Macaca fascicularis: one gene and its partner. Each later gene encodes a partner of the first gene's protein in a complex. Links are inferred from orthologs where the notes say so. Each region holds a gene or a part of one and is shown on either strand. Other genes may lie near its edges.

The links.
Region 2: EIF3G (region 1) and EIF3F share a complex: the UniProt entries of both Homo sapiens proteins name them as parts of the eukaryotic translation initiation factor 3 (eIF-3) complex. The link is inferred for Macaca fascicularis from reciprocal best matches to the Homo sapiens genes EIF3G and EIF3F.

Annotation. Positions count from the first base shown.
Region 1 is NC_088393.1:10,662,270-10,669,110, reverse strand, and holds the start of EIF3G (eukaryotic translation initiation factor 3 subunit G), read left to right. Parts: upstream 1-2,910; 5' UTR 2,911-2,970; coding exon 2,971-2,990; intron 2,991-3,129; coding exon 3,130-3,176; intron 3,177-3,667; coding exon 3,668-3,751; intron 3,752-3,859; coding exon 3,860-3,948; intron 3,949-4,058; coding exon 4,059-4,118; intron 4,119-5,550; coding exon 5,551-5,655; intron 5,656-5,747; coding exon 5,748-5,937; intron 5,938-6,675; coding exon 6,676-6,783; intron 6,784-6,841. UniProt on the Homo sapiens protein: RNA-binding component of the eukaryotic translation initiation factor 3 (eIF-3) complex, which is required for several steps in the initiation of protein synthesis.
Region 2 is NC_088388.1:57,827,281-57,833,201, forward strand, and holds the end of EIF3F (eukaryotic translation initiation factor 3 subunit F), read right to left. Parts: intron 5,480-5,921; coding exon 5,342-5,479; intron 3,791-5,341; coding exon 3,699-3,790; intron 3,244-3,698; coding exon 3,107-3,243; intron 2,972-3,106; coding exon 2,858-2,971; intron 2,284-2,857; coding exon 2,206-2,283; 3' UTR 2,057-2,205; downstream 1-2,056. UniProt on the Homo sapiens protein: Component of the eukaryotic translation initiation factor 3 (eIF-3) complex, which is required for several steps in the initiation of protein synthesis.

The DNA.
Region 1 (6,841 bases):
TTCGCAGCAGGAATTATTAGCTGGTTCAAAGGAAAATTCATACGTGCTTGTTTTTTTCTTTTTTTGAGACAGAGGCTTGCTCTGTCACCCAGGCTGGAGTGCAGTGGGGCAATCTTGGCTTACTGCAACCTCTGTCTCCCAGGTTCAAGTGATCCTTCTGACTCAGTCTCCCAAGTAGTTGGGATCACAGGCGCCCGCCACCACCATGCCCAGTGAATTTTTGTATTTTTAGTATAGATGAGGTTTCACCATGCTTTCCAGGCTGGTCTCAAACTCCTGACCTCAGGTGATCCACCCACCTCAGCCTCCCCAAGTGCTGGGATTACAGGCGTGAGCCACCGCGCCTGGCCTGTTTCCCTACAACATCTTTACTACCACTGGGTGATATCAAATTTTTAAAGCTTTGCCCAATCTGCTAGGTTGTTTGGATTTTGTGTTGCTCAGAGTACATTTGAGTAAGCTTGTACAAATGTTTATCAGCCCTTTGGACCAGCTTCATATTTTCACCAATATACATAGCCAGGACACCCTCCTGAAAAACCGCCGCAAACCGCAGCGGTGTGCCTCTCTTTCCTGCCTCCAGCTAATGTTTTTCCTTCCACTTGGGTCTCTACAGGCTTCTAGAATAATTTTTTCCACAAGAAAAGCTGGTGATATTCTAAACCCTTGAGTGGCCTCCTCACTCACACCTCAGAGGATAAACAGCATAAACTTTGTTTTTCCTGTCTTCTTCTTTATTTTTCTCAGGCCATTCTCCCTTACAAGTTTGTTTTGTTTTGTTTGTTGCATGTATGTGTCTGTGTGTGTGTGTGTGTGTCTGTGTCTGTGTTTTCGAGACAGAGTCTCGCTCTGTTGCCTAGGCTGAAGTGCAGTGGTGTGATCATGGCTCAACCTCCTGGACTGAAGCTATTCTCCCACGTCAGCCTCCTAAGTATCTGGGACTACAGGCACACAGAATTATGCCCAGCTAATTTTTTTAAAGTTGTTGTTTTCTTTTTTTTTTTGTTTTTTTTTTTTAGGGGCCAGGCTCACAACTGTAATCCCAGCACCTTGGGAGGCTGAGGCGGGCCCCTGTCTCTACTATCTCTACTAAAAATACAAAAATTAGCACGACATGGTGGCCGTAGTCTGTAATCCCAGCTATTCGGGAGGCTAAGGCAGGAGAATCTCTAGAACCCGGGAGGCAGAGGTTGCAGTGATCCAAGATTGTGCCACTGCACTCCAGACTGGGCGACAGAGTGAGACTGCATCCCCCCCCAAAAAAAATGTGTTTTAGAGATGGGGGTCTTGCTATGTGTTGCCCAGGCTGGTCGAACTCCGGGGCTCAAGTGATCCTTCTGCCTCAGTCTCCCAAAGTGCTGGGATTACAGGCGCGGGCCACAACACCCAACTAATTTTTGTATTTTTAGTAAAGACGGGTTTCGCCATGTTGCCCAGGCTGGTCTTGAACTCCTGACCTCAAGAGATCTGCCCGCCTCGGCCTCTCAAAGTGCTGGGATTACACCTGTAAGCCACTGCATCCGGCATTGTCAAACTTTTTTTGTTCATATCACCCTCCTTAGGAGAAAACCCGAATTATTCTAAAATTGAATTTACATCAACTAAATTAATTTCAATATAATTACATTTAATATCTCCCTAAAGGCAGAAACTAAATACTTAGGAATAAGATGGCTGATAGAGCTGGCTTTAGAAGACCACAATATCTAAGATTTTTTTCCTCCCTGAAAAGCAGTTTTTTCCCCTGGGGAGTCATCATGAATCACTCCAACTGAGGACGGTTGTGCTTAGAGCAAGCAGCTGAGCCATAAAGAAGTAAATGCACAAAATTATACCGGAAAGCCAAGAATGCTACAAAGAAAAGAAGAGGGAGTGGCTGGGGAGGGGGGCGACTTGGCATCTGAATCATTGAGATCGGGAAAGAAGATAAGGAACAGTTTAAGCAAAAGGATTGTTTTCCCTGAGCTTTGGTTTCTTTTTTCTTTTTTTTTCTGTTTTAGAGACAGGGGTTCTCACTATGCTGCCCAGGCTGGTCTCAAACTCCTGGCCTCAAGCGATCCCCACACCTCAGTCTCCCAAAGTGCGGGATTACAGGCATGCGCCACCGGACCCAGTCTGAGCCTCAGTTTCCTCAGCTGTAAAATGGAAGTAATATCCTCCTCACCGTGCTTCATATACAACAAGCACTCAATAAGTGAGCCTTGTTATGATTATTATTATTTATTTTAATTTTACTTCTTTTTCTCAGACAGAGTCTCACTCTGCAGCCCAGGCTAGACTGCAGTGGTGTGATTTCGGCTCACTGCAGCCTCCGCCTCGTGGGTTCAAGCGATTCTCCCGCCTCAGCCTCCCGAGTCCCTGGGATTATAGGCGCCCGCCACCACGCCTGGCTAATTTTGGTTTTTTGTGTGTGTGGGGTTTTTTTTGTTTTGTTTTTTTTTTTGAGACGGTGTCTCGCTCTGTCGCCAGGGTGGAGTGCAGTGGCGCAATCTCAGCTCACTGCAACCTCCACCTCCCGGGTTCAAGCGATTCTCCTGCCTCAGCCTCCAATCTGTAGCTAGGACTACAGACGCGCACTACCACGCCCAGCTAATTTTTGTATTTTTAGTAGTGACGGGGTTTCGCCACGTTGGCCAAGCTGGTCTCGAACTCCTTACCTCAGGTGATCCGCCCGCCTCGATCTCCCAAAGTGAGGGGATTACAGGCTTGAGCCACCGCGCCCCGCCTATTTTAATTTTAAAGGTTAATAGGACCAGCACTGAAATCAGCCTCTGCCCCGCCAGCCCTGCTCTGGTACCAGCAGCGTTCAGCAGCACACACAGCCGCGTGCGCCTCCACCTCCGTCCGCAGGTGTCGTTGTGGGTGCCGCGGCTGGGCCTCTCTAGCGGCGACGGCGACACCGGAAGTCTCGTTTTCCACCCACTTCCGCTCTCTGGCCAGGCTTGGGCTGCGTGGAGAATACTTTTTGCGATGCCTACTGGAGACTTTGAGTGAGTCCGGGATCGCGGAGGGGGGCATGGGAAGCGGTTGGGGTGCTCTGGGCAGTATTATGGGGCCTGGGTGTGCCGAGGCTGCGGGGACCGGGCCTTGCTGACTTAATCTTCGCTTCCCACACATTTGTTTCCGCAGTTCGAAGCCCAGTTGGGCTGACCAGGTGGAGGAGGAGGGGGAGGACGGTAAGTGTACCCGGTCGCGCGGGGTAATCGCGGCCAGGCCCGAGCCGGGCGACTGACGCCTGCTTCCATCTCGCAGTCTGGCACCGTGTCCCCCGTCACGACCAGCCCCTGCCCCGCGCCATCCTCCTTGGGACCTGCCTGTTGCCAACTCCAGGTGTTCCCCGGCGGGTCCCTGTTCCTCCCATGTTACTGCCGAAGTCCTCCCAGCTGTTGCCTTACTCCAGGGAGGAAGTTGTAATCTCCCGTCTCCTGTTTCTCTACTGGCGCCTGGTTGGCTTCATGGCCTGGCACCCACCTTCCTACGAGGGATCCCCCATCTTTGCCACTCCAAGTCCCCACAGGGCTATCCCAGTGCGCTGCCTGGTCAGCCCTCTGCCCTTGACCTGCCTTTCTCAGCTCTTGCTGTAGGCATCATCCCAAAGGCCCTTCCATCGCAGCTGGGGAGCTCCTGCCCTGGACCTGACCCCTCCTCCCCACGCTGCCTCTTGCAGACAAATGTGTCACCAGCGAGCTCCTCAAGGGGATCCCTCTGGCCACTGGCGACACCAGCCCAGAGCCAGAGCTACTGCCGGGAGGTGAGTGAGGACTGCCACTCCGTGTCCGGGCTGCCTCTCCCTCCAGCCCTGCCGCTCCTGATCCCCATGACCCAGGGCTCAGTCCTTCTGTTTTTCCCCTTCTCCCAGCTCCACTGCCACCTCCCAAGGAAGTCATCAACGGAAACATAAAGACAGTGACAGAGTACAAGATAGATGAGGATGGCAAGAAGTTCAAGGTGAGGGTAGGGGGGCCCTTAGACCAGAAGGCGGCGGGGTATGCTGAGGGGGTTGGTAAAGGAGATCCCCTAGTCCCAGAAGCCTGACCCTTCTCCCCTGCCATCCTCAGATTGTCCGCACCTTCAGGATTGAGACCCGGAAGGCTTCAAAGGCTGTTGCAAGGAGGAAGGTGAGGCGCTCCTTCCCCAGGGCTAACCCAGAGGAATTGGGAAACCGTGCTCCGGGACCTTTTTGTTAAGAGATGGGGCTTAACTCTTTTTTTTTTTTTTTTGAGACAGAGTGTCGCTCTGTCCCCCAGGCTGTAGTGCAGTGGCACGATCTCGACTCACTGCAACCTCCGCCTCCTGGGTTCAAGTGATTCTCCTGCCTCAGCCTCCTGAGTAGCTGGGATTACAGGCATGCGCCACCACGCCCAGCTGATTTTTGTACTTTTAGTAGAGACGGGGTTTTGCCATGTTGGCCAGGCTCGTCTCGAACTCCTGACCTCACGTTATCCACCTGCCTCGGCCTCCCAAAGTGTTGGGATTACAGCCGTGAGCCATCGCACCCAGCCGGGCTTAACTCTTTGTACCTATTTTGTTGAAGCTGAACTGAGGCCTGGAGTGCTTACACTCTCTTGGGACTCTGGAAAGTCCAGGGCATAGGAGTCGATGATAAATAGCGATTAAATAAATGATAAATATCTAATAAAAGTTTGATGATAGATATCAAATTATATTAATAAATGTCAAATAAATTCCATTATAAATATCGAGTGAAAGTTAGATTCTTTTAATTTTTTTAAAGACACAGGGTCCAGTTCTGTTGCCCAGGTTGGAGTGCAGTGGCACGATCATAGCTTACTGCAGCCTTGAACTCCCAGGCTCAAGCCAACCTGGGATTACAGGTGTGCACTGCCACACCCGGCTAATTTTAATTATTTGTAGAGATGGGGTTTCACTATGTTGCCCAGGCTGGTCTCCAGCTCCTGGGCTTAAGAGATCCTCCCACCTTTGCCTCTCAAAGTGCTGGGATTACAGGAGGGAGCCACCGGGCCCAGCCGGGGTTAGATTCTTGTTCCTCTTGGCCTGTCAGCCTGGAGGAACAGAGGCAGGAGGTGGTCGCAGCAGTTAGAGGCATTAGCAATAAATACACTTAGAACAGCTTGCTGTGCACTTAATTGTAACATGCCCCATGGCAAACGCCTTGCAGGGAGTGTCTCTCTGATTCAGTCTCCTTAGGAGCCCAGGGAGGCAGGAAGCTTTTGTGGTTCCCGTTTGATAAGGGAGGAAGGGAGGAAGCTGAGGCTCAGGTTGTCTAGCTCAAGGGCCCGGAGGTCTGGGTAGACCCCTGCACATCCCTGAGTATCACGCCCTGGTGGGAGCTGGTCCGCCAGCCTGCACAGGCCCCAGGCTGTACAGCTGTCACCTGGAGCTTGGGCCTGGCGTGTACTCAGGAAATGGGAACTGTCGCCAGGACTATTTGGGGAGTGGTTGAGGAGGATGAAAATGGGGTTCGAGGCCCAGGTACTCTGGGGATGGCTGCTGTAGGTCTAGGGTACCCCACTGTGGAACCCTGCCTGCCCCTGCCCTCAACTGTCCCCCATCCCCCCCTGAGCCCAGAACTGGAAGAAGTTCGGGAACTCGGAGTTTGACCCCCCGGGACCCAATGTGGCCACCACCACCGTCAGTGATGACGTCTCTATGACGTTCATCACCAGCAAAGAGGTGAGCAGGGCGTTCGGGGGGGCTGGCGTGCTGGGGTGGGGCACAGGGGGTGCCTCAGCCGCCTCTGAGCTCCCACAACCCGCCCCTGCCAGGACCTGAACTGCCAGGAGGAGGAGGACCCCATGAACAAACTCAAGGGCCAGAAGATCGTGTCTTGCCGCATCTGCAAGGGCGACCACTGGACCACCCGCTGCCCCTACAAGGACACGCTGGGTCCCATGCAGAAGGAGCTGGCCGAGCAGCTGGGCCTGTCTACCGGCGAGAAGGAGAAGCTGCCGGGAGGTGCGGGGCTGGGGATGCTGGCTGCCATGGCGGGGGCGGGGGGTCCTGCTGTCAGTGCGCGGGTTCTGTCCCCAGTGCTGCCTTTGTGCTGTCATCTCCCACACGACAGCGTGGCAGGGTTGATGGCGCCCGACTCTTCTCAGGGCGTCTGTGCCTTCCTAATTGGCTGTACCTCCTGTGGTTGGGAGACCGGCGTCTCTCGTGTATGTGTGACTTGGCAGCTGTGACTCTGCTGGTGGCCCTATGACTGTCCTGATGGGAGCTGCTGTCTGTCGGCCCTTGTGTGTACACACTGTGTGTGTAGTGTCTCCGTTGCATGCCTGTGGCTGTAACGTCTGAATCTTTTGGTGGGATTGCTGGTGGTGAGTGTGAGAGTGGAGACGTGCATTTGTCGCCTACCATGCGAGGGAAACCTGGGCACTGTTCCTGTCGTGTGTCCCATGCCTGCTGTCGCTGTGGATGTGAGGCTGCCATTCCCGTCGCCACCCCCCCAACCCACCCTCTCTGGGGTGGGGTCAGGGCTCCCTCTTCCTCCGCCATTGTCACCGGCCAGGAGCTCAAATGGTGTCAGCTTCCTAGGTGTCACCTTGGTGTCCTCGTGGCCAACTGGCTGCCTGTGGCTTGGCACACGGTGCCTGCGCTGGGTCAGCACTGAAGCCTGAGCCTCCTGGGGCGGCTGTGTCCCTGTTCCTGCGCCAGGGTGAGGTTGAACTCAGTTGACTGTCTTTTGGTCCCCAGAGCTGGAGCCGGTGCAGGCCACGCAGAACAAGACAGGGAAGTACGTGCCACCAAGCCTGCGCGACGGGGCCAGCCGCCGCGGGGAGTCCATGCAGCCCAACCGCAGAGGTGAGGGGCACCCTGATGCCAGGCTGGTGGGTGGGCATCTCCCGGCACCTCGTAATTA
Region 2 (5,921 bases), on another chromosome or scaffold:
AAAATGTGACCAGAGGATCATAGGAACCCAGTCCTGCATTTCCCTTGGGAATAATGGTTCAGTACTCTCTAATTCAGTGTTCATGGTGACTTTATAAAACATAACTACTATAGATAATGAGAATAGACTGTATATATATATATATGCAGTCAACTCTTAGTATTTGTGGAGGATTAGTTCCAGAACCTCCCTTGGATATAGAAATCCTCTGATGCTCAAGTCCCTAATATGCAGTATTTAGATATAACCTGTGCATACCTTCTCATATACTTTTAAGTCATCTCTAGATTACCTAATACATCTAGATACCCAATACAGTATAAACACTATCTAATACTTGAATTGTTTAGGGAAAAATGACAAGGAAAAATGTCTGTACAGGTTTAGTCCAGACACAATTTCCCCCCTCAGTATTTTCAACCTGTAGCTAGTTGAGTCCATAGATGTGGAACCCACATATACAGACAGCCAACTGCATGTCTAAACAAGTTTCACTTGTTTTTGAACTTTTGGAGTATCATAATGCATGTCTTCTGAGACCAGCTTTTTTCATTCAACACTATTAACATTCACCTATGTTGTTACAGCTGGAGGACAACTTATATGTCCTTGTTTTAGATGTGTCTCCTGTAAACAACATACAACTGGGGTTTGCTTTAATATTCAATTTTTCCTCGGGCTAGTTTAATACTTACACATTTATTATAATTACTGATGTATTTGGACTTGTTTTGCCATCTTGTTTTATCCACCTTTTCTATGCTTATTTCTCAAATTTAAAATTTTGTTTCTTGCCTATTATCCCACCATTTCTCATCACTATTCATTTAGGGATTATATATACTTCTAGCAATTAACCTTGGAATTTTATCATGCATACTTAAAAAGACTAAGTTGATATTAACTGGCTACTCCCAAAAATGTAAGAAAACTTTTTTGACTCGATTAACCTTCTTCCCACCATGCTCTCTACTTTTAACCTCACAGTTTGGCCTGTCATTACCATTTTGCCAGTAAGATCTGTTTACACTTCCCTACCTGTAAGAAAGTATCTATCATTACTATCCATACTTTATGACTCCCATAACTTGTATTTCCTAAGGTACATATCTCAGAACTGAATTCCAGGCTGGGGTTCATATTGCTTATTACTTTCAAACTATTCAGCTTTAGGTATCATAGCATCTACCACTTATCTGTGCTTACTACATACCAGGCGCTATTCTCTACAAGTGGTGATTAACCTGACATTTATTAATTCATGGAATCCTCATAATACCCTAATGGACTATGTATGTTTATGATCCATATCTTATGACTTTTATAATAATTTATCTTTCCTAAGGCTACACATACCTCAGAACTAGGATCCAGGCCTTTTTGATTCCCCATTGCCTTCATCCACCTTTTCACTCCAATATGTAATTTCCTGAGTTCTTGAATAATGACTTGTTTCTTTCTAAGACACACAGTGGTGAGGTGGAACTCCAGGATACCAGAGGAAACGGATGTCTGAAGTTACACAGGCAAGTACTCTAGCCTACAAAGCCTCTGGGAAATGCCATCTAGTCTTTGCTCAAATTGAGCCACTGGCAGACCTCAATATAACTGAAGGCTGTACCCTCAAGTTACAGATAGCACCTAAGAATTTTCTGAAGTTTTGGGGAAACCTCTTTAATCTTTAACCCACAGATCTTAATTGTCCCTCCCCAAACTAAAGTGGCAGACAGCTCCATCTTACTATTAATGTATTTTAAGATAGTGACTACACACTCTACTCTTTTAGTTTAGATTAAGCATCCAATTTTCTCAGCTATTTTTTCTCCATGGATTCTTATTTTCATTTCCTACAGAAATCACACGAATCCTCAAGAAAAGGTACAGTTTTGCCAATGGACACCTTTCCATATTGAAAACCAAAAGAACAGTTTGGTAAAACAGTAACCTGCCAAACACATAACCAACTTTTTTACCTACAATATTCACTTCCTGGTTTCTGTGTGATCTAAAACATTTTCCTCCCTTCCACCCGGCAATAAACTCACATAAGATGAAATTAATTTACAAAAGGTAGGCTATGTTTATTAGAGTCACACACAGTTGACTGTCTCAGTGTGACTCAAGACCACAAAAAACCCATTTCTCCTTCACTTCTGAGTCCTGGGTTTAAGACCTATACCAGCAGGCGTACTGCTTGGGGTCCATTCACAGGTTTACAAGTTTTTCATTGAGGGCAATCTGTGACTGTGTGAGGTTGGCCAGGTAGGTCACCATCAGCAGGTCCTGGAAGACAAAGAATACACAATGAGTGGGGGGTTGGGTGGAAAGGGAGCAAAAAGGCTGGCACTGGCTGGCTCTATGGTGGGCACTAGGTATGAGGACAGTTGTGGATAAATGACAGCTGGGAGAGACCGAATAAAAGTCAAAAAGGTAGACGACAGAAAAGAAATGCTTGAGAAGACTTTCTTATCTCTACTGAGACACTTACAGTCTAGGGGTGCCTTAGCTGAAACCCATGGATGGAATATAGGGGGTCCGTGAACTCAGATGGGGAAAACAAGTAATTGCATTTTCCTTAACCTCTGAATTTTAGTGTTTCTTTCTATCACAAATTTAGACAGTAAGTCACAGTAGCATCAGCAGTAAATGAGACAATGTAATCACGGGAGAAGGAAGAAGTCTCCAAACATGCATACCACACCTCTTCCTTCCTCCCAACCTGGACTTCCATGGGGCTATAGGTGAAGCCCTGTCTCTATCCTACTCCAGGCCACCTCACCCAACTCTTCACATTTGAGTGTATGTGCTGAGGTAGGGGAAGAAACCAGGCAAGCAGGGGCTCAGGAAGGGCACTCACATTGATGTTGCTGTTGAGCATGGTCTCGAAGTCATCGGGAACTATTTTGGGTACTTGGTTAACCAGGCTCATCAGGAAGCGGCCCACAGTATTGTCAGCTGACACCTTTCCAGACTGAGCACCAAAACAAAGACTCAATGAGGCAGTTAATTATAACCACTGCGCCCTACCATTTCATCAGCACCTGCCTCAGTAATCCCAGGATGGAGAACTATGTCCTCCCCCTTTGTTTTTTCTTTCCCCTCTCACCAGTACATCCTCTGCATATTGCAACACTGTGCTCAGGGCATCCTGGATGCGAGCTGATGCCCCTCCTACTTGCTGCAAGTCACTTGAGAGTCCAATCACTCTGTTGGGGCTAAAGCAGGTCTTCATGATCAGGTCAACTGTGGAAGTTGGGTGGCAGTGGCAGTGGTGGGCAGTAAGAGAGAGAATTCAGTCATCCCACCAGGAAAGAGATGGCCTTAAAGTCCTGCTAACTCTGTTTCCCACCTCCCCTTAGACAGTCTGCTCAATCACACTCCCTGCTGTGCCCTTATCAGCTTTTCTTCCTCCTAACAGAGCTCAACTCCTTTTACCTGGTATGCTCATCACCGGTTTTGATCTCATATGAATGGTCATGTGGCCTCTGGTGCTGATAATTTCCCACCTTTAACAGTTTCTCAAATAACTCCTTAAATCCCATTTATACAAGAGATGACTGTAACTTCTAGTCTTCACAAACCTTAGATCAATAGTCCCTTTTTAAACCACCCAAGGCCTCCATCCTTGTTGCAGAACAGCAGCCCCCTTCCCTGAAAACGCCTATGACCTCTCAAGAGAGTATGGAAAGGTTACTCACCTCCGATGCGTTCAGTGTCATAGTATGCGTATTTCACTGTCAGAGGTGTGAACATCACTCCCATGGTCCTCCCAGGGACACCCATTAAAGTACTGAGGAAGGAGAAGCCAAGGTAAACAGATGGCCTTGGGAGAGGGTTTCCATGTCTATTCTGGGCTGAGAATGCAGATACAGCAGGAATATGGCTCCCAAGGTTCTAAGACAGGAAGGGTGGGACCAAATGAACCCGAGGTCTCATGGGAGCAAAAGTTACTTTCTCCCCTTAGCTTGTCCCACATACCAAACCTTTGATCTGTAAGAGGGGACGCAACCTTTGCACCTGGCCTGGTCCCTTTAGAGGATTACTTCACACACGGTGCAGTGTCAGTGATGAGAGGACAGGACTCAATTACCCATGGAGTTGGCTGTCTATATAGCTGCCCACCATGGAAAAGAGACAGAGACAAGTCTTTTCTGGGACCAACCCCTTCATCAGCATTGAAAAAGGAAACCAACTCCTGCTCACCAAATCAGATTGGGTGCTATAAGTAATCTCACTAAAGGTATTGTTTTTACTATGTCAATTATATACCTGGATCTATACTTTACTATGTCAACTCTCTATCTATCGTATCTATCTATCTATCTATCTATCTATCTATCTATCTATCTATCTATCTATCTATCTATCTATCCATCCATCCATCCATCCATCCATCCATCCATCCATCCATCCATCCATCCACCCACCCACCCATCCATCCAGCTGGATCATATATATATATATATATATATACTGGATCTTGAGGAGTCTGAAATACTTGGGAAGGCTAAGAAGTCAGGCAATGGCTAGTGCTTAGTGGTATGCCAACTGGCTCATAAAGACTTGGCATCCACCATCTTTGTCTTACTGTGTAAGAGTTAACTGGCTTTGTCAGTGTCAGACACAGAACCAGCACGAAATCAACAGCCTAACAGATGCACTAACAGCTGCCTTCCCTCTGACTTTCCAACTCCCACAGCTGCTTCCAACTCCCACAGCTGCTTCCTCAGCACACCACCAGGGCCTTTCCCAACATCCCCCTTAACTGGCATTTTAACCACCTGCAAGCTCAATGTGTTCACTGTAATGTCACTGTCATTAAAACTGCACTCAATCCTGGGTTAATTAATGTGTTCAAAATAAGGACAGTCATCCTTTAATACGTACTACCCTGAGTACTGCGCTGAGTTCTAGAGACGATGACAAACTAATGGGTAATTCAGAAAAGTAATGAATGTGGTGAAGGATCATGACAAGAATACCACATGATGACTGGCTGTAGGAACTATGGAGTCAGGTTCTACAAAAGACGACTTGATAGCTTGCTCAAATACCATGTGATGACTGGCTGTAGGAACTATGGATAATTAGGTTCTACAAAAGATGACTTGATAGCTTGCTCAAATACTTAAAAGGGCAATGAGTAGAAACTGGAGTACAACTAGGATCAGCGGTACAAATTATAGGAACAGATTCTGTTTCAGAGTGAAACCGTTTGAATAACTGTTGAGAGAGAGGAACACAGCAAGTTACACACGGAAGGAATGAACCTTGCTTGGGGTGGGGGAGGGATGGCATCTAGGCATGGTTTTATGCCCTTGTAGCCCAAGACTGTGGTCACCTGACATAGGCTTTGATGCTCATGCGGCCGTTCTGGAGACTTGTGTCCACAGTGAGGTGGATGGGGTTGGGGGCCTCTCGGCTGTAGTACTCATGGATTAGCACAGAGTGCTCTGTGATGTCATGGCCTGTAGCGTACCTGTGAAATGGAACACAGTTGCAGACTCATGTCTATATGTGACATCAACATCAAACACAACAGTGGCATGGGTGTCTTTAGGGTACCCAATACCTCTATGGTAGGGATACCTAGTGATACCAAATGCCAAGAACAATATATACATTGAAAACTATGTCAAATAAAATCAAAGGCTGACTTAGTGCTGCTGAAAATTCCAAGTCTCTTACAAGGTAATTCAAAATATCCTGGCCCCACAGGATCAGAACCACCAGCAAAACCCACTGAATTCACAGTTCCTACAGGTAACACACTTTCCTTTTTTGTTTTTTAGAGACAGGGTCTCACTCTGTCACTCAGTCTGGAGTGCAGTGGCATGGCATTATTATAGCTCACTGCAGCTTCAAATTCCTGGCCTCAAGTGATTCTCTAGCCTTAGCCTCCTAAGTAGCTAGGACTATAG